Linked DNA regions of Notamacropus eugenii. The protein of the gene in region 1 interacts with the protein of each later gene in a pairwise test. Links are inferred from orthologs where the notes say so. Each region holds a gene or a part of one and is shown on either strand. Other genes may lie near its edges. The genes, in order: BMAL2 and CLOCK.

Region 1 (16,506 bases):
GCTTTCAAGGACAAACAAAGGAGCTCACTATTTTATCTAGGGGCAACTGGAAGCCATTAAGCTACTTCAGCAAGGGAGTGACAAGGTCATACCTATGTATGTTAGTCATTTAACTTTGCTATCTGCATGCAGGATATATTGGAAAAGAAGAGGAGAGAGACTAGGGTGTCTTCTTGGCAAGCATACATCTCCAAGGGAAGTGGAGCAGAGGCAGAGAGGTCAGAAGATAACAGACACTTTCATTGTCTCTCTGGAAATAAACTATATTAACATTCCAGGTAAACCACACTTTCTTTGCTGATGTTTCAAGCTACAACACAGACTTTTAGGAAAGATTTGTGAAATATATATTGGAAAAGAAAGATACTGGAGCCAGGGAAACAATTTAGAGGCTATTATAATAGCCCAAGCACGAGGTAAAGAAGACCTAAAGTAAAACTTAAATATTCTAGGTTTTATCTTAAGTTAATAAAAAAAAATTTTCCACAATAGACCTGGTGTACTCTCTGATGTCTTGTTTTGCCTAATGACTGGGCTGGGCTGCATTAGGCATTTCAAATATTATCTTATTTGAGCCTCACAACAACTCTAGGAGGAAGGTTCTATTGCTAACTCCAAGCAAACAGGCTCAGAGACGTTAAGTGACATGTCCAGGGTCATAGAACTAGTAAGCAGTCTAATGTGGGATTTCACCAAATAAATTTCTTGGCTTCAATTCCAGAATTCTATCCATTATGCCACACTCTCACTAGCAGGTGCTAGTCTTTAATTTGGAGGCTAAAGAAACAAATCACCCCAAATTTGTTTCGATAACTGTGGACTTTTTCTTCTTTGTCTACTAATATTTCAGTATCTATAATGCAAAACAAGATTTATTCCATCTTACTTGTCTCTAAATATGGGTGGTTTTATTTCTGAAAAAAATGGTTTGGGGTTAAAAATTGGGGCTAAAAAGGAGTGGTATGAAATATTTCAGTACAAATGAGTATTGAGACTTGAACCTCTGGCTATGAACTCCTCTAACTGGCTCCCTTCAAACTGTGACAACTATTCTGACAAAAACCTAATGGCTATTATTTCTTTATTTCTCAAAGAAAAATTCCCTTTTGAAAGCTCTTACTTTTTCTTCTATACTTTTTTTAAAGTGTTCATACCTAAATTCTATACCTTTGAGCCAAGAAACCTGCAGTTTTTAATGAGAAGACCAGAAGCGATTTTAAGTCTATAATATAACTTGTTTGTTGGAAAATCAGCTAAACATTATTGACAGGGAGAGACTGTGACACAATGTACTTCCAAAGTTGGCTATCATCTAAGCTGGGAAGTTTTGGATGCCACTAAGTTCAATGGATTCAAAGTAATTTTCTCTCATTTTTGTGGCTGATGTGTAGATGACAAGAGAGCAATGCCATCTCTGATTCAAAGAAGTGGGTTTGACATCAAGAGATCACTAAGCCATAGTACCTGTTTGCTCCCTCAATCCATAAAGAGCTCAGGGCAAAGAACAAGAAAGTCTAAGGAAAATTCTTGGCAGTTAATAGAGTATTTCAGTGTTATCATGAATATGACTGAATGTGATAAGAGTGAGAGAGAGAGAGAGAGAGAGAGAGAGAGAGAGAGAGAGAGAGAGAGAGAGAATGATTATTAAAGACTGCTCTGCTTATCCATGGCAATTAATTACATTTATACCAGTCTTCATGATTATAAACCCCCATTAAAGTCCTATTCTGATGCTTCATCATGGGTGGAGGGTATCATCTTGGTTCCCTAATGGCTGTAGCAGTCTTAAAGCACAAACTTTGATAGGCTATAGAAAGTTAGAAGCACTTCAAGGATAGGTTTAGGGAGAGAGATGTACCACCAAGATGGCTCCAGAATGATGAATATTTTACCTTAAATGATAGTGGAAGATAGTCTGCCAAGTCAGAGAGGGGTTGTGATTTGTGTTAGTGGAGGAAGTACTCATATCAATGAAAACATGGATCTCTGAAGTACTAAAGTATGGTTATAAACACAGGTAGCAAAATGCAAACAGAAATAATCCACTAATCAACTTCTGAAAGAAACCCCAAAAGGGAAAATACCAGGAATATCATAGCCCAAATCCAAAACTCCCATGTTAAACAAACAAACAAATCTGTAAGTATCCTGGAGTGGGGGCAGGAACAGTTCCAGTACCAAGAAAATACAGTTAGGATCATACAAGACCTAACATGTTCTACTAATGATAAGAGGAGACCTTGGAATACAATATCCTAAAAGACAAAAAAGATAAGTTTACAATAAAAAATAACTTATACTGCAAATCTAATTATAATCTTACAGGGAAGAAAATGTATCTTTAATAGAATAGAAGACTTTAAGTCTTTTCTAATGAAAGATCAGAGTTGAGCAGAAGCTTTGGAAATAAGCACAAAAATCAAGAGAAATCTAGAAAGGTAAAATTAATTGAACAATATGAAGGAGTTCTATGATGAAGTAGTGCCAACATTCTAAAAGAGGGAGAAAAAACAGTATCCTTTCAGAATCTTGATATCTTCAAATGTTATCAAGTGATATATGTAAGAAAAACAAGAACCTGAGCATAGATTGATTTTCTTCTGAGGACTTTAAAAGATGAAAGAGAAGTATAAGCAAGAAGGAACACATGAATGTGTAGAACAGAGGAAGAAGGGGCTAAAACTTGCTATTTCTTATAATTAAAGTGCATGAGAAAAATATATAAACACTGGAGGACAGGATGGGGACAGAAAGCATCAGATGAACCTCATTCTTATCTGAAATGGACGAAGTAGGGTAGACCACATGCAAAAATCATTTGGTGTAGAAATATGTCGAATTCAACAACTGAGGTAAGGTGAAGGATAATGTGAGGGCAAGTAGAAAAACAAACTTCTGATGCTGGAGTAGGATTTTCTTGCCTTCTGTGAGAGAGAAGAAATGAAAAGAACTAGAATCTAATGGAGAATGGCTGATCAAACTTTAGTGTACGAATGCTATGAAATATTGCACTGTAAGAGTGACAAAAGAGACAATTTCACAGAATTTTTTGTAGTGTGAAGTGATGCAGAGTGAAGTGAGAATAATCAGGACTACAGTTTATACAAGGTCAATGAGAGTAAAGAAAATCAACTTTAGGAGTTTAAATTCTTATCAATGCAATGGCTAATCATATATCCAGAGGACTTCTGATGAAACATTGCTAACAACCTCCGGGCTGAGAGGTAATGGACTCAAGGTATGAAAAAAAGGTAACCATTTTTGGACACAGCCTCTATATAGACTTGTTCAGTTGTGTCCGATTCTTTGTGACTCCATGGATTGACTGTACTGTCCATGGGGTTTCCTTGGCAAAAATACTGGAGTGGCTTGCCACTTCCTTTTCCAGTGGATAAAAGCAAACAGAGGTTAAGGGACTTGCCCAGGGGTCACACAGCTAGTAAATGTCTGAGGCTGGACTCATATCATCCTGACCCCACGCCTAGCACTCTATCCCTTGTACTACCCGCCTGCCTCCTATATAGATCAGTTTTGCTTGTTTTGTACAAGATTGCTTTTTCTCTCAGTTTTTAATGGGAGAGGGGTAAGATGGGGTTAGCAACAGTGATACCAAAAAAAAAAAAAAAAAAAAGAAGGTGGAGGAATGATGGAATTTTTTTTTTCTAATGTTCGGCCTAAGTACAGAAGGAAGTTCAAAAAGAAGGACAAATAAATGAGTCAGTTTTGAAATTAATGGGTGAAATTGATGTACTTTTTTTTTTAAAGCAAGTGATATAAAATGGAGATGAATAGGTGTATGTCCAACCCCTCTTCTTGTATTCTGCTGTGTATGTGAAAATGCTCTGCATTTTGTTAAGTTCAGAATTTTAAAAAATGTTTAAAATGCATAATTAGAAAATACATGGTCAGACTTGACCTTCATAATGATCCTATGAGGGAGGTAAATGTGGTTATCCCCATTTTGCAGATAACGTTTATATAATGCTTATTATGCACCAAGCATTGTGCTAAGAACTTTACAATCATATCATTTGATACTAAAAACAATGCTGGGAGGCAGGTGCTATTATTATCTCTGTCTTATAGATGGGGAAACTGAGCTCCAAAGAGATGAAGTAACTTGGCCCTTCGAATTCACTAGTAATGTTATCAGGAGCAAGTCTTAATTTCTTTGTGACTTAGTTTCCATATCTGTAAAATAAGCAGGGACTGTTGCTTTCTTTTCTTTATAATCATAGCTCCTAGAACAGGGCTTTGCACATGATAGATACTTAATATATGTCTGTCAGATTGGTTGCTGACGATGACTAATGCCCTAGATCTTCTTTGGCCTTTAACCATCAACAATAAAAAGTAGAGCTCAATCAAGTAAATAGGTCACATTTTTTTAAACTAAAAGTAATCATTTTTTTTATAACTCCATCCATAAATCCTTTAACAATGTTTGCAGGGAAGAGCATTTTAATCAAGTTTCACAGCACAGACAAATATTAGCTGCATTCAGTATGACATGTTTGAGTTTCTCATTTTGTTCCACAGTTTAAATGATGGTAAGGGGTGTGTGTGTGTGTGTGTGTGTGTGTGTGTGTGTGTGTGTGTGTGTGTGTGTGTGTGTGTGTGTGTGTGTGTGTGTGTGTGTGTGTGTGTGTGTTTCTGTGAAAGGTAATCAGTAGTGTGTTGGTGTGCCTAGAAAACACATTGGACTGAGTCAGGAGCCTGAGTACTGGTCCTAGCTCTGCAATTTAGGGACCCAATTTCCTCATCTGCAAAATGAAAGACTGAGACAAAATTTTTTCAAAGGTCCCTTTTTGTTCTAAGATTTTGCAGTTCTGTGAGAGTGTTCTACTTTGACTTGGGGAATGTGCACCAAGGCAGAACCATTGAGTATGGATGCTGACTATGAATACAAGTTTATATAGAGTTAATTAAAATGGCTTCTGATTGCTGAGTCATGAAAAAAATGAATTTCAATCATAGTAATTACAAATCCACAATGCAAAATGGTATTATTCCTCAATTTCAAGGTGAAACTAAGAGGGGATTAGCAGAAAAACAGGATGAATAGGAGCAAGGCAGCTCTGTCTCCACCTCTCCTACCATCAGGAGATCTCAGTCTACTCTGCTCTCCTGGATGCTGTCTTGTCCTCGATTCCAGGAATTCTGAAGTCATCCACAAAGAAGACACTCACCCTCACTTGGCAGAGTGTACAGTCTTTCTGTTTTTCTTAAGTCTGTCAAATAATATTCTCAAATGAACTGTCTACCTGTGGTTTTCCCCCAGGGAATTTTTGTCGGCTAGAAAGATTCCTTACCTAACCCTCTACAGTCCAAGCACAGAAAGTAATTTCAAGCCTCCTGCTTTTTTTTTTTTAGACTTATACCAATAAGATCTTAATATCAGACTATTTAGATATAATGATAAATTTGTAGTTTGGTAGATGAGATAAATGGAAATAGATTCCTGGAATAGGAACCTGGTAATAAAGAGCTATAGATCAGAACTGCCTTAAAACATTTTTGTTTCACCCAAAATAATGAAATAGATAAGTAGAGAGAAAGTGTTAGGTTGAGGAAGACCATTAAGATAATAGGCAAAGTTCTAGTTTATTTTGAGTGTACTAGTCATGCAATGTAGGATGGGATTAGAACTGTGATTTCATTAATAAGAACTCCTGAGTGAGGAAGACCTCTCTCCCAGTGCAAGTCAGTATTTTCTTCAAAATGTATAGTTTTACACTGGTCTCGAGTCAGGAGGACTATCAGATCTGCCTTCAGACACTTACTAGTTATGTGGCCCTGGGCAAGTCATTTAATCCTAATTGCCTCCAAATTTAAAAAAAAAAAAAGGAAGGAAAGAAACCAAGAAGAAAAAGAAATGTATAGTTTTAAAGAGTTGTATAGAACACTGAGAGGCTAAGTGATTCATCCAGGGTCACCCATCTAGTGTACTGGGAATGGGACTTGAATCCAGCCAAGTTTTCTTAGATTCAAGGCTGGATTTTTGCTTCTCACGTAATATAAGAATGTATTAAATTATGTGTAGGGATCATATCTTACTTAAACCTTAGGTCTTAACTTCTCTCTACCATATTTGTTGCTGTTCAGTCCTGTTCAAGTCTTTGTGATCCCATTGGGGTTTTCTTGGCAAAGACAATCAAGTGTTTTGCCACTGTTTTCTCCAGCTCATTTTACAGATGAGGAAACTGAGGTAAACGGGGTTAAATGACTTGCCCAGAGTCACACAGTAAGTGTCTGAGGACAAATTTAAACTCAGAAACATGAATCTTCCTGATTCGAGGCCCAGCACTCTATCCACTGTGCCATATATCTTCATCAACCAAGAAAAAGCAAAACCAGAAAACCTCAGATGTCCAGTTCAGTTCTGATCCTTGTTTAAAGTTGTAAGTGTAATCTGCCAAGCCCAGAGGATCTGTTGGAATCTGCAACAGTCCCACAGAGAACAAACCAATTCTGAGTCATGCCTAACGTGAAAGACTCCAGGAAGACTGAGGAGTTACAGGGCTACTTTGGATGGCACAGAAGTTCACCACTAGATTTCCACTTAGCCCAAGCCTGTCTAAAAGGGGACTCAAGCCTATAGGCTGGCCTCAGAACTGACCTGATATCTCAGGCCCCTCCTAAATATGGATGATGAAGGGTTGAGTTGGACTTGCTCGGTCTTCTCAGAAATATAATGCCTACTGAAAACCTGTCTCCTTCTCAAGGCATACTCCAGGGTCTAGATCAGTTTAACACAAGGCTCTAGGATTCAAAGAAAAAGAAAGGGGGGAGGGGGGAGGTGTTAGGAAATGAGATGCAATCTGCCTCACTTCATTCAGTCTCTCAGAAGGTCAAACTGTCATTATTGCAGTCACCAAACTCACTGTTTATGTATGTTTATATAAAGCTAAGTCAGAAGGATCATTTTAAGCATGTCCTAACTTCACATTTAGTTCTCAACTAAACAACAATGTTTATTTATAATGAAAATAACTTAGCTAAAGGTACCTTGTCACTAAGGTTCAGTCAGGGCCATACGATTTAATCTAGAATTTCTGCTCACCTAGATTAGCATACATTGAAAGAATTCAAATGCCTCCTGGATTTGGACAAAACTGGTTACATATTTTCACAAGTCTAGACAAATATTTTATCAGGAGACCAGTCTTAACTAAAAAATAAAAAGGAGCTATAAGTTAAGTAATTGTTTATCCCAGTCTTCTGCAAAATACATGATGAGGTACATTATGATGGTGGGAATTGGAAACACTACAAGACTCCAAAGTACCACTTTGAGAATACTAAGTTTTCTCATCTCACAGTCTATTTTGGCAAATAATTGAATATATTTTTACTACATTAGGTAAAGCTTATAGAAATCTAATCACCTCTGCCCAAATATTTTTTCTGCAAACTCTCTTAAAATTCTTTTTATTTCTCTGTCACTTATCTTAAGTGGTAGATACAATGATGGTTCCATTATTTTCAATAACAGACCCAAGAGACAGACTACTATAAATAATTATAATAAATGAAAGAAAACTTTGTATAACAGAAAGTTGGTTTTTTCTGAACAACAATAAAAATCCTGTAAGCTGATGTATCAGCATTGTACCATGAGAGGCACTGTTAGAATGAGAGGTCCTGGGTTCAAATTCTGCTTGTAACTTCCAATCATTCAACCTCTCTGGGCTTCAGTTTCCTCAAATATAAATCGGGAGAAGGGATTGAATAGGTAGCGGCTGCTGCTCTAAATCTATGACCTCCCCCTTTATTACAAGGAGTGTGGGGGTGTGGGGGTGTGGGCGCGTGGGTGTGGGTGTGGATGGATGGGTGCGTTTCTTGGGGCAGGAAGAGTAGAGGGAAAGAAATAGATTTTCGTTTCTTTTAAGGAGCCTGTGAGCTACAGCTCTCCTGCCTGTTTTTCAGTCAAAGTTGGTTAGTTTCTGGAGCCAGAAAGAGAAGAGAATGCTGCCTGTTCTTCCTGTGTTCTGGAATGACAACAACAACAACAAAATTCTTTTTATGAATGATGATGGCAGGGGGCCAGAAGAAAGCAAGTAGACCATTCAAAATGACAGACAGAAAGAGGGTAGTAGGAAGGAGATCTGTGACTACAGATTTGCTCTGGAATAACGGAACGGATTTGCTTCTAGGGCTCTCCCCTCAGGGCAAGACATACACTTAAATCTGCCCAAGCGGTGCCAACACAACTTCCATCGTGCCTCCCCGGCAAGCATCCTGCCACCTGAGCCCATAGGTGTGCACATAACAAAATCAGAGCCTGCTTTCCCTTTCTGAAGGAGCTAAGTGCTCTCTCGTCAGTCGCTCACCCTCATCCGCAGCAGGTATCCCAAGGAGCGGCGTGAACAGGCAGGCTCCTTCCATTCCCATCCAGGGCAGCGGCAGCAGCGGCAGCGGGTCCCCCAGCTCGGGGTCGATGGAGGGGGCTAAGCTCCCAGACTCGCCCACCCCCCTTCCCAAGCTCGCCCCAAGCCCGCCAGGCTGTGTCACTTAGGGACTCACCTGGCGCCGCAGCCTCGGCGGGCTGGCTCCCTGCAGACTCAGTGTCTTCTCCCCCAGCCATAGCAGGGGCCGGCCGGCTGGTTCTCGAGCCCTCGGGCTGGCTGCATGGAGGGGGGCCCCAGTCCGTCCAGCACACGCCCGACGAGGCTGATCCGGCAGCGCGGCGGCTGCGGGCACACCTGCGGGGCTGCGCCAGGGATGCTCAGCGGCCACCTCTGCAGCGAGCGGCCCCTCTCCCTGCACACCAGCCGCTGGGGCGGGCAAAGCTTCAGACTCGCCTGCCGAACCTGCCGGGCTACTGAGCATGCCCGGTCGGGCTGCCCTGGCACCCGTTCAAGGCAAGCAGTGGATGCCGATTCCGCTAACCGGGTTTTCGGGGTAACTGGGAGAAATGCGAAGGAGGAGCAGAGGCTGGGCTGGGGGTAGAGGTGCCTGCGGCAGGCTCAAAGTCTTTGAAAAGGAGATCCCAGAGTCCAGGAGCTCAGGAGATAGATGGATGACAAAAGATACAGACAGATCACAGATGACTTGCGGACGAGGAAAAAGGGGGATTCCCACTGGCATCCCTGATCTCAGTATTAATGCTGCCCAAAGAGCTCCCTGAGAGGCATAGGATTTACAAACAGAAGGGACCCTAACGATCATCTAAGTCCAACCCCCGCATGTTTACGGATCGGGAAACTGAGGCCCAGAAGGGTGGAGTGACTTACCCAAAGTCTCACAGTTACTAAACAGCAGAGATGAGCCTGAAACCCAGGTCTTTTAACCCTGGGTTCCAATGTTCTTTCTACTGTGCCCTGCTCCCTCCATACAGCTGAAATTTATATCAATGTATGAGTGTTAAAATATGAAATTTTTCAAAGTGAATGCCCATCCATTGGGGAATGGCTCAACCCGTCGTCGCTCAAGATTGTAATGAAATATTACTGCTATGTGAGAAGTAATGAATATGATGAAAACAGAGGAGCACGGAAAGACTTTATACAAACCATAGTCAGGAAGTCCTGGGTTCAAATCCAGCTGCAGACGTTTACTATCTCTGTAACCCGGGGCAAGACATTTATCCTCTCTTGGTCTCAGTTTCCTTACCTATAAAGGGAATGGCCTTGGACTTGGCCACTAATGAATCTAAGTCTATGGTCCTATGATATGAAATGAAGTAAGCAGAACTGAGGAAACCATAGACACAATGACCACAACAATAGAAATGGAAAGAAATATAAGAAACAAATATTAAAAATTGAATGCTAAGAATCTGAGGCCCTTTCCCCCACACTCTTACTTTACAGAAGTGGGAGGTTATGGGTGTGAAATACTGGATAGAATGTCAGCCTTTTTTCAAAATGTGTGTTAATTTTACCGAACTTTTTTCTGCTTTTATTATTATTTTTTTAAAGTAAAGGATGGCTCTCTGAGAAGGGCGCAGGGATATATTGGGAAGGGTAGGTGAACCAAAATCAAAAGATCAAGAAAAAATTATTTTAAAATTAAAAAAAGAAAATGACATTTCTTTTTTAGTAGTTCAACCCCTCCAATACTTTGGTCTTATTTTTAAGTTTAAAAAATGTTTATTTTTACATCACCTTGATCTTCTTTCCTCCTACTCAGACAGTCCTTCCCTATGGCAAACGATAAGAAAAAAAGGGGAGGAGGGAAGCTGTTTGGCAAAATTAAACAACACATCAGTTGGTTCAGAGAATATATTCAATATTCCACAACCATACTACTCCACCTTAGCTTAAAAAGGTCAAGGTCTCCCACTGCCTACAGGGCCATCTCCAGTCTTGTTACTGGACTCAGATGGCTCTGGAGGAGAAAGTGGGGCTGGTGACTTTGCACAACCCTGCCTCACTTAAATCCTATTCACTTGTCATAGCATCACCTTCTGGATACTATGATTGTCTTCAAGAAGAATGGACAAACAACAACTCCCCCACTGCAGAAAAGAGAGAGAGAGGTTCAGAGACTGACATCACTTACTGTCTTAACTCATATGGAATCTGACATCCAAAAGTAAAGCCACAGAAGTATAATGTAAAGGGTTGAATTTTCAGAACTCCATAAAGAAGAGATAAAGGAATGAAAGAATGCTTTAGTTTGAAGATAACAAAGAATTTCAAGGGTGACACTAAGGGGACAGCAGGGACCAGGGTAGTGAAGTTGGAGTGTAAAAAGTTGAGTTTAACTTCCAGCTTACCTATTTTATATAATAATGATCTATAATTTATATTAAAATTAAGGTTACATGTTCTATAAACATACATTCTATATAATTATACAAATATATAATTACTTATTAATTGTGTGACCTTGGACTTAAACTTTTTGGGCTTAAGCCTATACCATGTATATACAGCATGATAATTGTGATACTTGTGATAATAAAAAAAATCTTTTGGGAAACTTTTCTGAATACTGATAACAGGCTGCCTCTGTTTTGGACCCATGCTCATTCCCTTTTATTTTCTGGAAAAAATCCATTTCATGTGTCTTGCTGGCCAATCCCCAGTTTCCCTTTGTATATGACTTTAAAGATGGGAAATTTATCAAACCACCTTGAGTGAAAACTTATGTTCTCCCACCCCTCAAAAATAAAGTTCCTGGACATCCTTCATTATCAAGGAGAAGAGTGATGAGAGAGTCATAGATCCTGGATATGCTACATCCTCTTCCTCCTGCTAGAGTGTGAAAACTTAAAGTGCTGGTGACCTCTCAAAGTATAGCCTTTTTTTGTTCTTGCCCTTTCAGTTTTTACCTCTCCTCCTGTGCCCCTTCTCTCCTCAGCAATATGGTTTCTTATTTTAGGTTTTGAGTTTTCCCTTGTTTGAGTTGCAACATACTGTAATAATAGCCCATGACTGCCCTTTCTTTTGTGAAGCCTGCCTTGTCTCCAAAACTGCCATTATGGACTATAATTTAATTGAATGGGTAATATATGGTTAATGTCTGCCCTGTATCACAATGTCATAAATCATAGATCATAGATTTTTAGAATTGGAAAGGAACACAGAAGCTATTGAGTCCAACTTCCTTATATTACAGAAAAAGAAACTGAGGCAGAGAGAGTTTAAGTGACTTGTCCAAGGTGTGATTATGAAAATCAAGTGATATAATATATGTGAAAATTGTTGGGAGGAGGAAAAAAGTGCTACAGAGATTTAAGGTATTTGTTTCTTCATAGTAAAACTGCAGAAAGGTTTGGTCCAAATATAAGGAAAATCAGATGATTATAAGAGATGGAGACAGAAAGGACCTGAGAGATCATCTAATCCAACCCTCTCATTTTAGAGATGAAAATACTGAGGCTCTGATCCAAGGTTGTCCACGTAGTGAGTAGAAGAGCCAAGATTCGTACCCAGGTCTTCTGATTGCAAATCAGTGTTCTTTAGACTGTACTATAAGGGTTTCCCTTGGCTTTCTCAAAGGTAAAATACTGGAGAGCAGTATGGGGTAAATGAACACTGCTCCTAGAGTCAGCTGATCCTTGGTTAAAATGGCAACTTGGATATTTGCTAGCTATGTGATCACAGGAAAGTCACAACCTCTGTAAGCCCATCTCTTTAAAATGTAGATAATCATGCTGTGTACAACTGTGTCGAACTTAAACTGCTACAAAAAGTGGGTTATTATTCCTGGTGTGACTGATAGGAATACAAGGTGTCCCAAAAGTCTTACTGCAGTTTAAAGTTTTAATCATTTAAATTGCTTTACTGAATTCAGATTCTAGGGACACACTGTATGTTATTGAACAAGCCAATCAATACTACCTTTTCTTCCCCTTGGAAAATCTTTAGTGACAGGACTGACACCTATCTCCTGGAATGTTTTATACAAAGCAGGGCATTGGGCAATGTCACCTTTAGAAATCACTTACAGCATTAAGATCCTACAATGAATTTTCTAGAGATACAATCCAAGTTTAGAATATGCTATTTCATAGTCCTTAGGTTTCCTTGGTTACAGCTTTCTTAGTTGAGGTAGTGGCAAATGAAACAACCCAGAAAAAAATTCCAAAGCCTTGTACACAAACCAGATGACATTTGATAATTATGCTTCTGTGAATCTAACCTTAATCATGGGGTTCTAAATTACCCATTATGATTGGAGAACCTACTCATTAGTCCTGAGTGTTACTTAAAAATAAGGCCATGCCAAGGGTATGACAGCTGAGGGTTCTCTCTTCCATTCTTAGAATCAAAGACCTCCACCAAAATCTAGTAAGAAGGGGATATGGGTGACAAAATGGGATGCCAGAGTTTAAGCTTTGGCAGGTTCTATCAATCTGGAAATGTTTTGAATAAGGTGCCAATGACAGACTGGATGTTTTGCAGATGAACACTGGCCTAGTCAGAGAAGGTCAGAAGGGATAGATATTGTAAGGATGGTCACCAAGTGATAAACTTTTTCAGCCACAATAACTCAAGGATATCAACTACTGAGGCAAAGGGAAGCTGTGGGTACAAGAAGTATCCACATAGATCAATCAATCAATCAACAAACATCTATTAAGTACTTACTATATGCCAGGAACTATACTAAGCCTTAGGCATACCAAGTAAATCAAAACACTTTGCAGACAGGGCCACCAAGAGTCCTTAACTTCACAGTGTCCCTCTTGCCCTCCACCCTTCTGCCAATCCCATCTCATTCTTTGACATTGCTAATAAGGAGCCCCTGGACCAAGCTATTTACAAGCTCTTTGCAGGAAAGGTTCCAAAGAGTAGAAAACTTCCATGAAGAGAACTTTACCCTGAAGTACCCTGTCCATGGCAAGTGCTGGGCCCCACACAAATGGCTCCTTGTTTTTCATTCCTACAGCTAACACTGGCTGGATGGTAAGCATGTGGTCTTTGGCTAGGTGAAAGCCATGGAGTGCTTCACATTCCACGATGTCAAGACCAGATGGCAGATCACCATTTCTGACTGTGGACAACTCTCATAAGCTTTTCAGTTTAGTTTTTTTGTCTTACCCACTAAACTATTCCTTTGTAACTGGGGAGATCACCCCTGGATGTTCTTATACCCTATAATCTTTGTGCTTCACTTAACTGCATTTCCCTTTAGATTCCCCTTTTCTTTCCACAAGTCTGGTTAGACTGGAGCTAAATTTATGATCATGAAATTTAAAATGAACAAACCCTTCCCCACAAAGTCAAAAGCCTGCCCTCAAGAAGCTCCCATTCAAATGGGGAAGAAAACACATAAGTAACTATGTACATATAAGATATAGACAACATAAATAGGGGAGGATGATACTAGAGGGAAGGCATTAGCAGTGGGAGTGGGGTGACTAGCAAAGGTCTCTTGTAAAATGGGATTTGACCTGAGTCTTAAAGAAAGCCATGAGGCAGAGGTGAGATGGGAGAGCATTCTAGGCACAAAAGAGTCAATGAAAAGACACAGAAATGAAATCATGGATTCTTAAAATAGGAATTACAAATGTTGTTGCCCTTAGAGGTCATTCATTCCATTCTCCTGCATTTTAAAAATGAGAAAATTGAGGTTGAGAGAGTTAACTTGTCCAAGGACAGGGGAGATCATGCTACTTCCCAGCTCAGAAAACTTTAACGGTGACTTGGCATTGTGAAGTCTTTACATTCTGGTGCCAACCTATATTTCCATGCTGACTGAACATTACTTCCCTTCATGTATTTCTACATTCTAGCCAAACTGGCATATTTGCTGTGGCCAATCTGATGTTCCATCTCTGGTCACTGTTAGGCAGTCAGCAGGCATTTATTAAGTACTTATTGCATAAGGCATTGTACTAACTACTGGGAATGCAACAAAAGTAAAAAAAAAAAAACACAACAAAAACCCCCCCAAAACACCTGGGTATTTGCCCTAAAGGAGTTTACAATATAATGGAAGAAATAGTATCTAAATAACTGTGTATTGTACATGGGGGGTAATATGGGAAGTGGGAAGGGAGTTGAATCTTAAAGAAGCCAGGGAATTCAGAAGGCAGAGGAGAGGAAGGAAAATATTCTAGGCATAGAGATAACAAATGAAAAGGCCCAGAGACAGAAAAATGGAATGTTATGGTATAGTGAGGTGTCATTTCCCTGACCTTTGAAACTCACAAGGTTGGTGTCTCCAATCCCTTCATCTAAAACAAAAAAAAGAAACATGATGAGGTAGGAGGCATTAACTGGCCACATAAAGACATCAGTAGGGAGTTCTCAAAGCTTCTTCCCCTACAGCATTGTCTCTTCCTGGACACTGTCAACAAAGTTTCATTTAGGGATTTACCATGAGTGCAGGAGAAGAGAAAATGACTGAGGCTTTGGTTGCAAATTCTTTTTTAATGTCTCCAAAGCCCATCAAAAAGCCATCTTTTCACCAGTGGTTCATAAAAACAATCCAGTTACAAAATGTCTACACATGTTCCACAATCCAAGCCATTTCTATTATACATCATGATGACTCTCCCAGAAACAAGCTCTCCAGTTTCTTCCACTTAGGGAATTTGAATCTGACAAATATGCAGACATACATATTTGCGCATACCCAATCTCCTGTTACACCTGGTTAAGATGGGGTGATTTTAACCCCACACACATATTCGTGTAACAATTTGTTGAACCATTTCCCAGTCTAGGGATACTTGCTTAGGCAGCAAGGTGGTACAATAGATAGAGTGCTAGAGTTGGAGTTAGGAAAACTTGAATTCAAAGGCTACCTCAGCCTTAGGTGTGTGAAGCAGAGTAAGTCACTTAACATGTCTACACCTCAGTTTCCTCATCTGTAAAATAAGAATAATAGTGCCTGCCACACAGGATCATTGTGAGGATCAAATGATGCACAATACATGTAAAGTGCTTTGCAAACCTAAAAGTGGTATATAATGGTAGCTATTAACATTTACAAGTTCTGCTCTGAAAATTTTGGCATAATGCATATCTACCTATAGATATATCTAGATATAGCTATAGCTATACACATACATATATGTTGATATATGTATATTCATATATATGCATATAATATAAATACATGTATATACTCGTTATATACACATAAATAATATAAACATATGTATGTATAAACACATACGTGTACGTGCACACATACATATACATATGAAGTGCCTGTCTGTTGAGGTCAGGGAACCACAATGTTGAAGTCTGGAGTGCTTGAGACCCCAAATGACACCCTGCCCAAATGAATTTGACTGAAGACTTCTTTTAGCCAAAGAAAACAAAGTTTATTAAAGATTTGCCCTACAGGGTTGACTCTTAAGAAGCCTAACCATTGTGACACTAGTATTGACAAGCAGGCCAGGTAGAATCTGAGGGCCTTCTTGGAGGCAAGATGGAACTTGTGTGCAGAAAAACTGTGGGAGGGATCTAGGCGTGGCTTGGTAGTCTGGGATGATGGGAGGAGGGGTTTAGGGAGGGTCTTGAGGAGGAGTCCAAGGAGGATCTTTTTGGGACCGGGGACTGGATCAAGGGTGGGAAACAGCTGGAGGCAATTGGGATATAGCAGACAATGAAGGGCTGGGGTGAGAAGCAGGTGAGGCAACCCTATGGTAACAGATAATGGAGGGCCAGGCTAGGTTAAGGCTAACAGATTTGGGTATGAAAAACCAGATTAAGTGGAAAGATTCTTGGAGAGTTCAAGGAGGTTCCCAGAGTCTGTACCTCATCATGTTGACTGACTGACAAGTATAATACTTATATCTACTACACCAGGCAAAATCACCCAGCTAATAAGTTATAGGACTCCAGCCAAATTCATCCAATCCAATACTCTTTACATTAAATCAAACTAGCTTCGTAATTCTGATTTAAGTGCTATCTTGGACTTCTGAAGTAAGAAGCTGTAGGACCAAGAATATTCTTACCACAGACTTCAAAATAGCTAGATTATATCCTATCTGTAGTTGTTTTCAACCATTGTGTCTATGAGTGGGAAGGGTAGGGGTGGGAGCAGGGTAACCCTTTATACCACAGCCCAGGCTTTGTATGACTCTGAACT
Region 2 (16,037 bases), on another chromosome or scaffold:
AGAATGTTTGAAAGTCCCCAATTTTGTTGAAAGACCATTTTTTCCCCTGAAGTATTATACTCAGTTTTGCTGGGTAGGTGACTCTTGGTTTTAGTCTTAGTTCCTTTGACTTCTGGAATATCCTATTCCACGCCCTTTGATTCCTTAATGTAGAAGCTGCTAGATCTTGTGTTATCCTGATTGTATTTCCACAATACTTGAATTGTTTCTTTCTAGCTGCTTGCAATATTTTCTCCAGGGAACTCTGGAATTTGGCCACAATGTTCCTAGGAGTTTCTCTTTTAGGATCTCTTTCAGGCAGTGATCTGTGGATTCCTTGAATACTTATTTTGCCCTCTGATTCTAGAATCTCAGGGCAGTTTTCCTTGATAATTTCATGAAAGATGATGTCTGGGCTCTTTTTCTTATCATGGCTTTCAGGTAGTCCCATAATTTTTAAATTGTCTCTCCTGGATCTATTTTCCTGGTTAGTTGTTTTTCCAATGAGATATTTCACATTATCTTCCATTTTTTCATCTTTTGGTTTTGTTTTGTGATTTCTTGGTTTCTCATAAAGTCATTAGCCTCCATCTGTTCCATTCTAATTTTGAAAGAACTATTTTCTTCAATGAGCTTTTGAACCTCCTTTTCCATTTGGCTAATTCTGCTTTTGAAAGCATTCTTCTCCTCATTGGCTTTTTGAACCTCTTTTGCCAATTAAGTTAGCCTATTTTTCCAGGTGTTATTTTCTTCAGCATTTTTTTGGGTTTCCTTTAACAAGGTGTTGACCTGCTTCTCATACTTTTCTTTCATCTCTCTCATTTCTCTTCCCAGTTTTTCCTCCACCTCTCTAACTTGATTTTCAGAATCCTTTTTGAGCTCTTCCATGGCCTGAGCCCATGGTATATTTATTTTGGATGTGTGGGATACAGAAGCCTTAATTTCTATGTCTTTCCCTGATGGTAAGCATTGTTCTTCCTCATCAGAAAGGATGGGAGGAAATATCTGTTCACTAAGAAAGTAACCTTCTATGGTCTTATTTTTTTTCCCTTTTCTGGGCATTTTCCCAGCCAGTGACTTGACTTCTGAGTTTTCTTTCCACCCCCATCATGCCTCCAGATCTGCCCAGCCAATGCTTGGGGTCTGAGATTCAAATGCTGCTTCCCAGCCTCAGGGCTCTGGGCAGGGGTGGGGCTGCTATTCAGTGTGAGATTAAGTTCAGATGCTCAGATGGGGGCAGCTCTGCCACTCGGGGCTCAGTTCTCTCAGGGGGTTTATGCAGAGACCTTCAACAATGGATCCAAGCTCCTGCCTGCTTGGGGAGCCCTGGTCTACTGTCACCCCCGCTGCTGCCTCCCGAGTGGGCCTGAGTTATGGGGACACCCCACTCCCCTCTTGACCAGCCAAAGAGACCCTCTCACTGACCCTTGTCACCTGTGGGTGGAGGGACCTGCCTTCCTGCTGGAGATTCTGTCCCTGAAGTCTGCTCGAATCTGCTCCCCTCAGGGCTGCGTGCCAAGGTAGGGCTGGGCTCCACTCCAGGTCCAGTGTATGACAGACCTTTTGAGTCAGGTTTTCAGGTCTCTCTGGAACAGAAATCTCGTCCACTCTCTTGTTCTGTGGCTTCTGCTGCTCCAGAATTTGTTGGGAGTTCTTCTTTACAGATATTTTATGGGCTGTGGGTTCGGAGCTAGCATATGTGTGTCTTTCTACTCCACCATCTTGGCTCCTCACCCAGATGTATAGCTCTTGTTGAGAGAACTAAGCAAGTATCAAGTCCAAATAGCAGCCCTGAGTGAAACAAGCCTGGCAAATGAAGGCCAACCTACCGAAGTCAGAGTTAGATATATGTGTTTCTGGAATGGCCACAGTGAAGGGGAGTTCTGTGAAGTTGGCAGAGGTTTTGCAATAAGAACTAATCTAGTCAGCAAGTTTGTATGGCTACCAAAAGGAGTGAACAACAGGCTCATGGCAATGAGATTGCCACTTGCAGGGAAGTGACACACCACTATCATTAGTACCTATGAGGAACCCTGATGAAGCCAAAGAAAAATTTTATGAATTCCTGGAGACCCTTATCATCAATGTGCCAAAAAAGGACAAGCTTGTAATTCTGAGTTCTTTGAATGCTAGAATAGTTACAGACTATCAGACATGACAGGAAGTCCTTGGGTCACTTAGTACTGAAGATATGGTGTTCTCTCATGACCAACACTCTTCCATTTACTTCAATGTAACAAAACTACATGGATGCAACCTTGCAGCAAACATTGGATTAATAGACTATGTCATTGTAAGGAGAAGAAACAGACTGGATGTGAGAGTGGCAAAGGCAATGTGTGGCAAAGAGTGCTGGACTGATCATAGCTTTATCCTCTCCCCAAGTTAAATATTCCCATTCAACAAAAGCAGTGGCCCCAAGACAAGATGAGTACCAGAAGACAATGTCAATAGATTAGAGTACTTCTCTGGTAGGAATAGTTTATAGCTAACTTGGAGGGAAAGTTGAACCAACACAAGGCTGGAAACAGTGGAGCAGAAAATGAGTAGGCAGTTTTCAAAGTTTTGATGTACAGCACTGCATTTACTCATCTGGGTCACAATGCTTACAAACATTGATGAAAATGATGGGGAAATTCAGAAGCTGCTAAATGAAAAATAAGAACTCCACATGACATTCCCTGTTTCATGCCTTTGCATGGGTAGTCCCCCATGCCTGGAATGTACTTCCTCCTAACTTCCACTTCTTTCTACTTCCTCTTTTCCCTCTAGATATAGCTCAAGCAACACCTTTATTTAAGTCTTTCTTGAGTCTTTTTTTTGAGGGCCTTTTCTCTTAAATTACCTTGTATTTACCTACTTTGTTATTTGTTTTCTCTCTCTCTCTCTCTCTCTCTCTCTCTCTCTCTCTCTCTCTCTCTCTCTCTCTCTCTCTGTCTCTTCCATATGTACTTATATTAATAATTCCTCTTTGTCTCTCCTGATGAAGTGTAACCTCCTTGTGACTCTGGATTGCTCCATTTATTTAATTTTATCCTTAGCAGTGCCTGGAGCATCAGATGTTTAATAAATGCTTGTTGATTGAGTAATAGTTTTATCCCCTGATAGAATGTTTCTTGAGGGCAGGGACTATTTTATTCTTGTCTTCATTTTCCAGCAAATAGTACAATGCCTAATCCATAGTAGGTACTTAATAAATACTTATTAACTGATTGATACCAAAGGCATAGAAAAAAATCCCAGACAATACCATTAACCAAAAGAGGTTACTAAGAAGAAACCAATAACTACTGCCTCATATGCCTACTTTTTCATCTCAATGAAATTTTTCTGAAAATAATATGCATGTGCACCAAGGACATTCTTGATAATAGTATTGTTATAAGGGATCAGTTAGGCTTCCTCAGATGATATTCTACAGTATTCAAAGCAGTGACTGAGAGATTTAAAGAATAAAAGATCCCATTGTACTCACTGTTTCCTGACTATAAAACATCACAAAAAAACCATTGAGTCAATAAAGCATTGTTATCGTTCAGTCGTGTCCAACTCTTTTTAAACCCTATTTGGAGTTTTCTTGGCAAAGACACTAGTATAGTTTGCCATTTCCTTCTCTATGTCATTTTATTGATGAGGAAACTGAGACAAATGGGTTAAGTGGCGTGCCCAGGATCACATAGCTAGTAAGTGTCTGAGTCCAGATTTGAATTCAGGAAGATGTCTTCCTGATTCTAAGCCCAGTGCTCTATGCACAAGCCCAACTTAAAGATTGTCATCCAATAAGGTATCTTCCATGCATTTGATATTTTATACATATTGAAAATGTAACGCTACAAGGCTGCAGTGTTTGAAAGTCTACCGCTGCTGAGTAGCCTATTTGATAGTGCAAGTAATGCCTAACAACTTCTGAGTAGAAAGGAGAGGGTTGTAATTTTGTATTACAGCCAGAGAAGCTGTAGTATAGTGACTTGATCGGGGTATGGTGCTTCTTGATAAGAAGAGATTTCTATCTGTTTCCAGAGTTTTTGTATCCAGGGCTTAAGCTCTTTTGGAAGTCAGTCAGCTAATCAGATCTTGTACGCACTTTGAAACCACATCTGCCTGCTCTCAGGATCAGTATCTCCATCCCAAGCCTCCAACCAGGGTTATAAAGTCCCCTTTGTCTGTAGTCAAATCCTGATTGCTAACCTGAACACCCTTCTAATAATTGCAGGGGCTATCTTCACAATTCTTGGGACTGTCTGAATCTGAAGCACCAGACATTTTCTTGGCCCAAATCCCTTGGGTCTTGCCATTCAATTGAACATGAATATATTTTTGCTAAACTAATAAGGCAAGGTCATTGTCTTCCTCTTTACCCACCTTCCTGTTTTTATTCTGTATATGTGACTGGTAAAAAGCCTCACGGACTTTGAGATGCCCCCCACACCTTTCTAGATTAATTTCTCACTACGTAACCTGAAGGAGGTTGGCTTTGGAAAAGCAGAACGGATATCTTTTCATTGAAAACTAGAAGGAAAGTAGGAGAATGTTTTGAGAAAAAGAGAAGCTTTGAATTAGATAAGGAGTTAAATGGGGGGAGGGGCATAATTTACACCAAATGACTTCCCATAGCTCAATACATTTGCAAGTGAGGTGATTTCCTGAAAGTATCTGGCAAGTAGAATCCTAATAAATTAATTGATTAAGTTTGAGGATCAGGAAAAAAGATAGGGCAGTTTTAGGAAGGGTAAAAACAGTTTGAATCCAGTGGAGTAAGAGAAAAGGAATCAAGAGGATTGTCAAGCACGGTGAATGTTAAAGTGAAGCTAGACAATCTGGATTTGTCATTGGCCCAGTCTGCACGGGTCTGTGATTTTCCCCAGCAACGCTATCCAGTCTGGGGACAGAACTGAAGAATGGAAGTTGACTAGGGATTAGTTCTAAGAGTGGGGAACTGGGAAACATAAAGGGAGGAAAGAAAAAAGAAGAGGGTATTATTGGAGGTTAGCACTAAAGTGACTGACCACTGAATTCTGCCTGGGCAGAACTAGTTAAGTGGAGGAAGAAAAGGTCTAATGGATTAGGTGAAGTGATGGACATGTGGAACAACTAGAGATTCAGGTGATGAGGAAGAAAGGTTCAGTGCATGTGGATTAAGTTGCAAGTAAGGAAACTATGAATAAGGGACACCATTTAAGTGAACAATGAAAAAATGTATTAATCCTTTTGTTTTGCTACCACAGTCATTTTCTGGTATGCGCAGCCTTCCTTGAATACTCTGAATAACCAACTTCATGAAAAATGATTTCTTCTGACATTGAATGTAACTTCTGCAACTGTAGTCCCTCCATCTCACCCCACCCCATCCCCAATACACAGAAAAGTAAAATGGGTTTCATCGTCTGTTCTCTGGGATTAAAATTGGTTGTTACGTTTCATCAACACCTTCCAGTGTTGCAGGTATTCATCATATATATTTTCTTCCCTCTTCTAATTTCTTTGCTCTGTATCACTTCATATTAACCTCTCCATAGTTTTCTGAATTCTTCCTATTCATCATTCCATACATTATATTCCATAATACTATTCAATAATATTCACATACCACAGTTTGTTTAACTGTTCCCTGAGAGTTGAGTACTCATTTTCTATACTTTTTTTTGCTAATGTAAAAAATGCTGCAATCAGTATTTGATTGGACTTTTTCCTTTCTCTTTTTGGGGGTATATATCTAGTAGTAGGATTGCTGGATTAAACATTATTAACAGTTTAATGGTTTTTCTTGCATAGTTCAAATTTGTCTTCCAAATGGATAGATTAACTGGCAACAGCTCCACCATTATTATTATTTATAATAATTTATAATTTACAATAATTATATAATTATAATAATTATTTACACATACATTATTACATATTAGTGTTCCTCTCTTCCCCTCACCACTCCTTCAACATTCGTTGTTTCTGTCTTATCTTTGCCAGTTTGAAGTTAGGAGGTGAAATATCAGAGTTGTTTTAATATGAATTTCTTTAATTTTTTTCACATTGAACATATAATCTATTAAACATTGACTGTGCAAAATACTGTGCTGGGAATACAAAGAAAGAAAAATGCCCTCAGAGGTAATCAGTTGAGGGAAGTAGGCTTGGGAAGGTAGAAAGTGAGGGGAGGGCATGATAACTGTCAAGTACTTGAAAGGCTGTCCCATGGAAGGGAGATTAAATTTGCTCTGTTTGACTTCAGAGGACAGAACTAGGAACAGAAGCAGCAGCTAGGTGACATACTAGATTGAGTGCTGGACCTCTCTTGAGGGAGACCAGTGTTCAAATCCTTCTTTGAACTTATACTCAGTGTGTGACCCTAGGCTAGTCATTTAACTTCTCTGTCTCAGTTTCCCCATCTGTAAAATGGTAATAATAACAGAACCTACCTCACAGGGTTGTTATGAAGATCAAATGAGAAAATGCCTTAGAAAGCATCTGAGTAATGTGAAATAAGGATGAAGGAAGAAGAGGGAACTCTCAGAGAATATCAGTTTTTTCAGTGAAATATGAGACAGGGTTCTTAGCTGAGAAGGTAGGGGGAGGGAGAGCCATGAGAAGTAGGAGGGATAAAAAGGTGTGTAAAAAAGCTTTTGTGGCAAATCAGAGAGTGAATAGATTGGGGGCGAGGAGTTACTCTGGAAGGATTGCCTTCCTGAAATGAGAACCCAACTGAGATTATGTAACATAAATTTGTAATTGACGTGTCCAGCTTTGTTGAAAAACATGTGAATATAATCATTGATGATGAATAAGTGGGAATAATCTAATGCTGGACTTGGCAGGTGTCCATAAGACTAACTTTAATCAGCCTTTCCCTGATTTAGCTTCTCCCCAATAATGTGGAGAGGTCCAGGCTCCTCCTTCCCTAAACCTAAGGGGTTATCTTTTCAGTAAAAGGAGACAAATCAGTCCCCAAGACATGATTAACTTCCCCTTCCCCAGACCAGCTTCCAGGTCACCTGAAGGCATAAGAAGTTTCAGTCACATAAGCAGTCAGGGAAGTCTGAAAACCACAGCAGTCCCGACCTCATAACTAAATACTTTTCCATATGGAGACAAGGGGAGGTGGGGGATAACCAGAGAAGCTAAATAGCATTGCATCAAGGTCCCATCTTTGCTAAATTAGGGCAAAGTAAACTACCTTCTGTTATCTGTTCCAAGACTTGAAAGTGCCTTACTTAGTAAAAGCAAACCTGAACGGAGAGTGAAAGTGTTAGGGCTGGTAGAGCAGCCTCTGGTAACAGGGCAAGATCAGCTGTAGGATAAGGAGCAAGGAACTCAAGGTAAGGTGATAGTGTAAAGCTGAAACGGTTCATTCAGGGTTCAAGACCGGGAAGGAAAGACCGTAACCAGTTTACAGGTGTTAGCTGGGGAAACACCTGAGGAGAGGAGTGATTGAAGTCATGGTGAAGATGAAGAACGGAGCTGAGGGATGTCAGGCAAAGAGAAAAGTGAAATAACAATAGGTCATCATCAGATAAATTTCAGAGTTCATGAACATCAAAGTAGACGTGAGTCATGGCAAGACCAAGGGCATGACCATCCTTCTGTAGCTGAGGTGGGATTGAGAAGCAGGTCATGGGAAATGGATAAATTGAGGAAGTGGGAGGTCAGGGTCTTTGAGGGAATGTGTGTATAGATATAAATGCGCACACACGCACACACACACATGTCTTCTAATATGAGGACAGAAGTTGGGGAGGGGAATGTGTTAATGGACTCAGAGGAAAGCAGAGATGTCTTGCAGGTCAGTAGATAAAAGCTCCCAGAGTTTTGATTGGACGATATAACTATGGACTGAATGACCCTCAAAGGAGGAGAGGTTACCGTGCGTATAACCCGAATTGCCCCTAGGGTCGGAGAAGACGTTCTGGGAAGCAGTGTCCTCAGAAGGCAGTCAGGTCTCCAGTGAGTGCCAGACGGAAGGAGAGGGAAAACATTAGATGGTCATCTCCTCTAACCACCTCCCCTCGCCCATCAGTGCCACAATCCTAGGTGGTGTGAACCATAGGTCTGAGTCAGTAGGACAATCCTATACCTAGGTGTCTTCCCGTGGGTACAGAGAAAGTCAGTTTTAAATAAAGCTCACTGCAGGGACTGTCCTTGTTATATCCAGAATGTGACTTTTAAAAACAGTATGTATACACTGATTTAAATTCCACGAAACTGCCTAGGAATTGAACGGGTCTAACACCCCTGGCTCCCCCAAATCCAAGCTGCTTTGCAAGACGGACCAAGTATTCCTTAAGCACCGACGGGGTCATTTAGGTGCGCGCTTTGAGGCAGCGATGTGGACAGTTACTGCCCAGGGTCGGTCCCTCCTCACCCTCTCCGGGCACCGAGCCTGGGGCCGGCTGGGGGTGGGGTGGGTGGGGAAGGTCTGTCTTTGACCCGCAGACCACCGGGACAAAGTACGGCTCCAGCTCGGCCTCCTCTGGACGCCTTCCCCCCGGCCCGCAGCGCCTGCGGCCTCGAGCAGCAGAGCGCGGGCAGGGGACTGCCGGGCTGGCCGGGGAGGGGGGCAGGAGCAGCCGAGTTTTCCTTCTCCGCCTGCGTGTGGTTCAAGGCTCTCTGAAGAGGCAGGCCCTGTCCTTGGAAAAGCCACGCCAACCCCACCTCCCGGCTTTCCAGTAACGGGATTCGTTCCTGCCAAATGCTGGGAAGGAAGGCAGGAGCGAGACCTCCGGGAAAGCCCCAGCTTCCTCTGTGCCCGGGCCAGTCTGGGAGAACGGGGACAGAGCTAGAGCAGGCTGGGAGGCGGGGATAGAGGCTGGGGGCCAGAAGCGAGAGGAGGAGGGAAACCTTCGAGCCCGCGCAGGCGCAGGGCCGACGCGAAAGCTGGGCAAACAGGAATCCCTCACCCCACCCGCCCCAAGCGCCCTCATCCAAGAATCCGCATGCGCACCAGAAGGCTCGGGAGCCTCGGAGGCATGGCTGAGAGAACGAGGCGAGGACGGCCGTCGGCGCATGCGCACGGTCAGACGCTCAATCACAGATTTGATTTGCGGCTTGCCGATTAAAAAAAAAAGGGTCTGCTCCCTACGCGTGCGCGCTGCGGGCAAGCTTAGCCAGAGCGGCTGGGCCCGGGGCCTGTCCGTTGCCGGTAGGCTTGACTTGGCGGCGCATGCGTGCTAGCCGTGCCGGCGGATGAGGGGAGGGGAAGAAAAGAGGAGGGGAAGGAGAAAGAAGAGTGGGGTGGCCGCAGCGGCGGCAGCAGCAGCAGCAGCAGCAGCAGCAGCAGCAGCAACCGCGGCGGCGGTGACTGCGGGTACTTCTCGCAGGCCTCGGGTGCTGCTGCTGCTGGCGGTGGAGGCTTGTGGTGTAGCAGGGGCTCCTTGGGAGAGGCAGCAGCTGCCGCAGCCACACGGCGGGGTGGGGGGAGGGGGGAGAGGGGAGAGGGAAGAAGCCGCCGGAGCCGTCGGCCGTTCGCACGGTGAGGACCGAGGGCGCTGGGGAGGGCGGGGGGCGCTTCTCAAAGTTTGACAGCCCCGCGGGAGAGTCTCTCTCCGGGAGTTGGCTCCGGGGCCCGCCCGAGGAGGGGACGCCCCTCCCCCCTGGGGCGAGTTGGGGCTACCTGGCGGTCGGGGGGGGGGGTGGCGGAGGCTGGGGGCGGGGCGGAGAGCCGGGGGACCGAGGGTGTTTCCTCAGGGACCCGCTAGGCCTTGTGACCCACTTTATTTCTGTCACTACCCAGGCACGTTTGGAGCGCAGCCCGATTGGGCGTCCGGGTCGCCCTGGGCTCTCGGTCACCCCCTCCCTGTCGCCGGCGCTCGCGCGGCCCGGGGAGCATCCTCCCCGCCCGCTGCCCGTGCCCGCCGGGCTCCGGAGCGTTGTGCTCGGCGCGGCGGGGAGCGGAGCGGAGCGGGGAGCTGCAGCGCGGCCGCCCCCGCCGCATCCGGCCCGCGGAGAGCCGCGCCGGGCCGCGCGAGGCCGGGCCGCCCCAGGCGGGAGTTCCGAGCTCGGACTCCCCCTCGCGTGTGCTACTCCTCGGGGAACGCTCGGACGGCGGAGCCGAGCGGGAGGTGGGGAGGGCGGGCTGCCCCTTGGCCTTTCTCGCCGAGGGCGGCTTCTGACCGCCGCTCTTGCCCCTGGGGTCGGGCCGCGCGTCGCCTCCCGGGGGTGGTGGGCACAGTGCGGGACTTCCCATTTCGGCCAGGAGTCGGGGGCGAGGAAAGAGGCCGGGACCTGGCGGGGGAGGGATGTCCGTGGTGTGTTGTTTCCTGCAGTTGGGATTGATCGGCGCTGGGAAAACTTTGAGGCATGAGAGAGAGGGAGAGAGAGGGAGAGGGAGAGAGAGAGAGAGAGAGAGAGAGAGAGAGGGAGAGAGAGGGAGAGGGAGAGAGAGAGAGAGAGAGAGAGAGGGAGAGAGAGTGTGTGTGTGCATGCGTGCGCACGTCTGTGTGTATATATTGCATGTGTATGTGTGTGCCTGCAGGCGGGCCGGCGGGCCTCTGTGTGTGTGTGTGTTCTGTGCCTGCCTCAGTGCTCATACAGGTACACTGCAGATCTGTGCATATGGAGGTTGTGTGCCAGCGCGTGTGTGTGTGTATGTATATTAGTATATGTATTACGCTGATATTTGAGCACATAGGTGTGTGACTAAGTGGGACTGTATACATGTGTATATGTGTGTCCCTGCAAGCAAGACTGTGTAGTGTGATAACGTATATGTGTGTGCATTTATATGTGCATGTTTATGTATGTATACACGTTTGCATATGTGCACATCATTGAGTTCATATGCACCTGTCTATGTGCATGTCATATAGACGTATGTACTGTCTGTCTAAATAGGTACCCCCAAAAATTGAAGATGAGAAGAAAAAGGGAAACTTGTTCAGCTACACGTTATTGGTTCATTCTTATGATCCGTAAAATCAGAGTAATGCGGTTCCATTCACAATTGCATTTCAGTTTCTGGGTAAGGGTGTTTTGGTCAGGGTGAGGGTGTAGAAAAGGAATAGGAGGAAAAGAGACTACATTGTTGAATGTATTTGCTATAAATATTTAAAGATTAACATGGAAACATCCTAATCCAGGAAGCATTTAAAAAGTGCATTCCTTTTACTGAAATAAATTCTTTGAGATGCCTCCAATCTGATTTTGCTTTAAAACTTCTTAGGGAAGAAAATAATCTTGAGTCAAATGTTAAAACACTTGACTGAAAAAGATTGTTTCTAAAGTTAAGCATGAATAAAGTTGTGTGAAATTAGTTGTATTTCTTTACACACTAATATATTCAATGACCTTTTTGAAGTAACAACTTATTTTTTAATTCAAGAAAACAAAAGCTAGTGGACTTCTCTGATTTGTGGACTTTAATTCTGACCATGAACAGAGATTTTAAAATTCAGTGGAATATGGAATAGTTTGCATTTTCATAGTTCACTTCTTTGGTTTAGATACAGATATCATGGTGCTCTTTGGATTTGACAGTGGTTGTCATGCTCATATTTTCAGAGTTTAGCTTCATTTGTACTTCATTAATCACTACTGTGTAGTGAAAGTTTTCCTGTCAATCACTTAGGAAAAATGAATAGACTAATATGTGAATTTCATATTGGATTTGGCTTGTCTAGGTATTCTGAATTTCAAGTCATGGAATTTAAGGGTCTCAGCAAGTACTATAAAATTCATATTAGGAAATAAGAGATTTCTCTTGTAAATCAGTATATTAGCTGTTTAAGACAATTTCACGATGAAGTTCATACTAAAATAATTTTTAAAAAATTTAATGTTAATACATGTCCTGTTTTATATACTTTTAAAATTACCACTGTCCTAATATTAATGCAAGCAAGGATATGGGGGCTAAAAGGAGGTTACATATTTTTTTAAATTTCAGACTCCCTCTAGTGGCTGACAGGGTGTATCCTTTTGAAATTACTTTACCAAGGAGTGGGAAAAATTGCTGGGAAAGTTATTATTTATTGAAGGTTTTTTAAAAAGTAACTTACTAGTCTTACTTTTCTTTGTAAATTTTGTATTATTTTTGTATGTCTTTGTATTATAGGACATGAATTTTGTATTTGATCTCTTCTTACATATAATTTCATTTTTTGGTTCTGAAAGATGGGCAGTTATTTCCAATTTGCTTTACAGTGGGTGTTCTGTTCAGTCTTGAACACCACTGAAGGCAGTGTTCAACTAGTCATTCTGTACCATCCTCCCCACCAGTGACCTCCTTACTTTTCCTGCCATTGCTAATATTCCATTGCAACCCAAGGACAAGTGAATGATTTTGTAATACATCATAAAATATAATATAAAAATACAAGTAAAATACAAAATACAAAAATGCAGCTATGAGTCTTAGAAACAGCTATCTCTTCAAATTTGAAAGGCCGGGATAGTATGTGAGCAGTTTGTATTGCCCTAGGTATGCTCATACTGGTATGGACTATCCTTGATTTCAGGGATTCTGGTCTGGACTTGAGTGTGTCTCAGTCTATACAGTCGGTGGGCTAAGTCCTCTGTTTCTGCACCCTTTAAAAAACTTTCTTTAGTATTTTATTTTTCCCCAGTTACATGCAAAAATAGTTTTTAACATTCATTTTTAAAACTGAGTATTAAATTCTTTCCCTTCTTTCCTCCCCACCCCCCTCATTGAGAAGGCAAGCAGTTCGATATAGGTTATAGTTGTGTAATAATGTAAAACATTTCCATATTAATCATGTTGTGAAAGAAAACGTAGACCAAAAATCCTCAAGAAAAATAAAGTAAAAAAGTATGCTTCAGTCTGTATTCAGACACCATCAGTTCTTCTCTGGGGATGGATAACATTTTTCATCGTAAGGCCTTCAGAGTTACCTTGGATCATTGTATTTTAGAGAACAGCTAAGCTGATCATCTTACTGTATTGTGATTACTTTATACATAATACATTTCACTTTGCATCAGCTCATCTAAGTCCAGGCTTTTCTGAGAGCATTCCACTCATCATTTCACATAGCATAGCAGTATTCCATCACAATCACATAGCACAATTTGTTTAGCCATTCCCTAGTTGGTGGGTATCCCCTCAGTTTCCAATTCTTTGCTACCAGAAAAATGCTGCTATAAATATTTTTGTACATCTAGGTACCTTTCCTTTTTGTTTTTTGTCTGTTTAGATATAGAACTTAGTAGTGACATTGCTAGGTCAAAAGGTATGCATGGTTTTATAGTCCTTTGGGCGTAGTTCCAAATTGCTATAAAGAATGGTTGAATCAGTTCACAACTCCTTTTCTTTCATTTTTCTCACATCCTCTCCATCATTTGTCATTTTCTGTTTTTGTCCTATTAGCCAATCTGATAAGTGTAAAGTGGTACCTCAGAATTATTTCAATTTGCATTTCTCCAATCAATAGTGATTGAGGACATTTCTCCATATGGTTATAGATAGCTTTGATGACTTCATCTGAAAACTTCATGTCCTTTGATCATTTGTCAGTTGGGGAATGGCTTTTATTTTTATAAATTTGACTCAGTTCTCTATATATTGAGAAAGGAGGCTTTTATCAGAGAAACTTGCTTCAAAAATTTTTTTCAGTTACGATTTCTAAATATATTTCCCTCCATCCTATCTCCCTTGGCCCTCCCCCACACATTTATTCTCTCTCCTTTCACTCGGTCCCTCCTCAAAAGAGTTTTGCTTCTGGCTTCCACTGCCCCCAGTCTGTCCTCCCTTCTATCACCTCCCCACCCCTTTTCTTACCCTGTTTCCCTCCTACTTTCATGTAGAGTAAGATAAATTTCTATATTCAATTGAGTATATATGTTATTCCCTCTTTGAGCCAATTCTGTTGAGAGTAAGGTTCACTTCCTCTCCCCAATTCCCCACTTCCTCATCTTCCCCTCCACTGTAAGCTTTTTTTTGCCTCTTTTATGTGAGATAATTATGCCTCTTCCTTTCCCTTTCTCCCAATGCTTTCCTCTTTCTCACTCCTTAACTTTATTTTTTTAGATATCATCTCTTCATATTCAACTCATACCTGTGCCCTCTGTCTGTATATACTCCTTGTAAGTGCCCTAATAATGAAAAAGTTTTTTATGAGCTACAAGTATCATCTTCCCATGTAGGAATATAAACAGTTTAACCTTATTAATTCCCTTATGATTTCTCTTTCCTGTTTTATCTTTTTTATGATTTTTGAATCTTATATTTGACAGTCATATTTTCTATTCACTCTAGTCTTTTCATTAAGAATGCTTCAAAGTCCTCTATTTCATCGAATGTTCATTTTTTACCCCTGATGGACCATACTCAGTGTTGCAGGGTAGGGGATTCTTGGTTGTAATCCTAGCAACTAGTCCTTTTTACTCTGGAATATTATATTCCAAATCCAGTCCTTTAATGTAGAAGCTGCTAAATCTAGATCTTAGCCTGACTGACTTCATGATACTTGAGTTGTTTCTTCCTGGTTGCTTGCAATATTCTCTCCTTGACTTGGGGGTTATGGAATTTGGCTGTAATATTCTTGGGAGTTTTCATCTTGGGATTTCTTTCAGGAGGTGATTGGTGGATTCTTTCTGTTTCTATTTTACCCTCTGGTTTTAGAATGCCAGGGCAGTTTTCCTTGATCATTTCTTGAAAGATGATGTCTAGGTTCTTTTTTTGATCATGACTTTCAGGTAGTACAATAATTTTAAAATGATCTCTCTTTGATTTATTTTCCAGGTCAGTTGTTTTTCCAGTGCGATATTTTGCATTGTCTTCTATTTTTTCATTCTTTTGAGTCTGTTTTATTGTTTCTTGATTTCTCATAAAATCAATTCTGATTTTTAAGGAATTACTTATTTTGCTCAATTCTGATTTTTAAGGAATTACTTTCTTCAGTGAACTTTTGTACCTCCTTTCCCATTGACCAATTCTACTTTTTAAGGAATTTTTTTTCTTCAGTGAATTTTTGTGCCTCTTTTTCCATTTGTCCAGTTAGGCTTTTCAAGGCATTCTTCTCCTCATTGGCTTTTTGTACCTCTTTTACCATTTGGCCTATTCTGTTTTTTAAGGTGTTATTTTCTTCAGCATTTTTTTTGTGTCTCCTTCATCGAGCTGTTGACTCTTTATCTATGATTTTCTTGCATCACTCTCCTTTCTCTTCCCAGTTTTCCTTTTACCTTTCTTACTTGATTTTCGAAATTCCTTTTGAGCTTTTTCATGGCCTGAGACCAATTCATATTTTTCTTGGAGGCGTTGACTTTGCTATCTTCTTCTGAGTGTGTGTTTTGATCTTCCTTGTCTTTAGTAACTTTTGTATGGTCAGATTTTTTTTCTATTGTTTGTTCATTTTTCTCATCTGTTTTTTTTTTTTTTTAAGATTTTTAACTCTGCTAAAGTGGAGCTCCTTCCAGGGTGGAGGTACACTGTCCCAAAATTCAGGGGCTTTGTGTAGCTGTTTTCAGGGTTACTTCTAGGGACCTGTAAGTTTTCAGTTCTTCCACTGTGGTATGATCTAAGCAGAGGTGTATTTACTACTCTCCTGGCCTGTACTCTGTTCTGAGTGACCACAAGTGTTCTTTTATGTACCTGGAACTGTGGCAAGGGTCCCCTCTTCTACTGTAGCTGCAAAGAGACCCCTGTAAGCTCCTTCTGATCAGTTGTTTAACTCCCTTGCCATCCATGGGGCTGAGAGCTCCAGAAGCAGCTGCTGCTTTCAGTGCCTCTCAAGGACTGCTTCTGTTTTCCTGAGACTTGTCTATGCTGGCATGGCCTGCACTGAATTGTACTCCTCCTCACCCAGTGCTACAGCACTTTTCCTGCAGACCTTCTAAGTTTTCGTTGCCTGGAAAATTATTTCACCTTGTCTTTTTGTGGGTTCTGCTGCTCCAGGAATTGTTTTATGTCATTATTTAAAGGTGTTGGGTGGGTTTTGGAGAGAGCTCAGGCAAATTACTGCCCTCTATCTGCCATTGTGACCCTACACACCTTTCTACACACTCTTTTAGCAAACTTGTGCCCACCAGTATCATATTAAGCTCTGGGCAGTTCTCTGAAATGGACTTCAATGCAGACCTTCATCCCAAGTAAAACACTAGTTGATTCAGAACTA

The links.
Region 2: the proteins of BMAL2 (region 1) and CLOCK interact in binary tests that used the Homo sapiens proteins (3 or more experiments, as listed by UniProt). The link is inferred for Notamacropus eugenii from reciprocal best matches to the Homo sapiens genes BMAL2 and CLOCK.

Annotation. Positions count from the first base shown.
Region 1 is NC_092874.1:178,206,656-178,223,161, forward strand, and holds the start of BMAL2 (basic helix-loop-helix ARNT-like protein 2), read right to left. Parts: upstream 8,803-16,506; 5' UTR 8,527-8,802; intron 1-8,526. UniProt on the Homo sapiens protein: Transcriptional activator which forms a core component of the circadian clock.
Region 2 is NC_092877.1:106,940,918-106,956,954, reverse strand, and holds the start of CLOCK (circadian locomoter output cycles protein kaput), read left to right. Parts: upstream 1-9,218; 5' UTR 9,219-9,439; intron 9,440-16,037. UniProt on the Homo sapiens protein: Transcriptional activator which forms a core component of the circadian clock.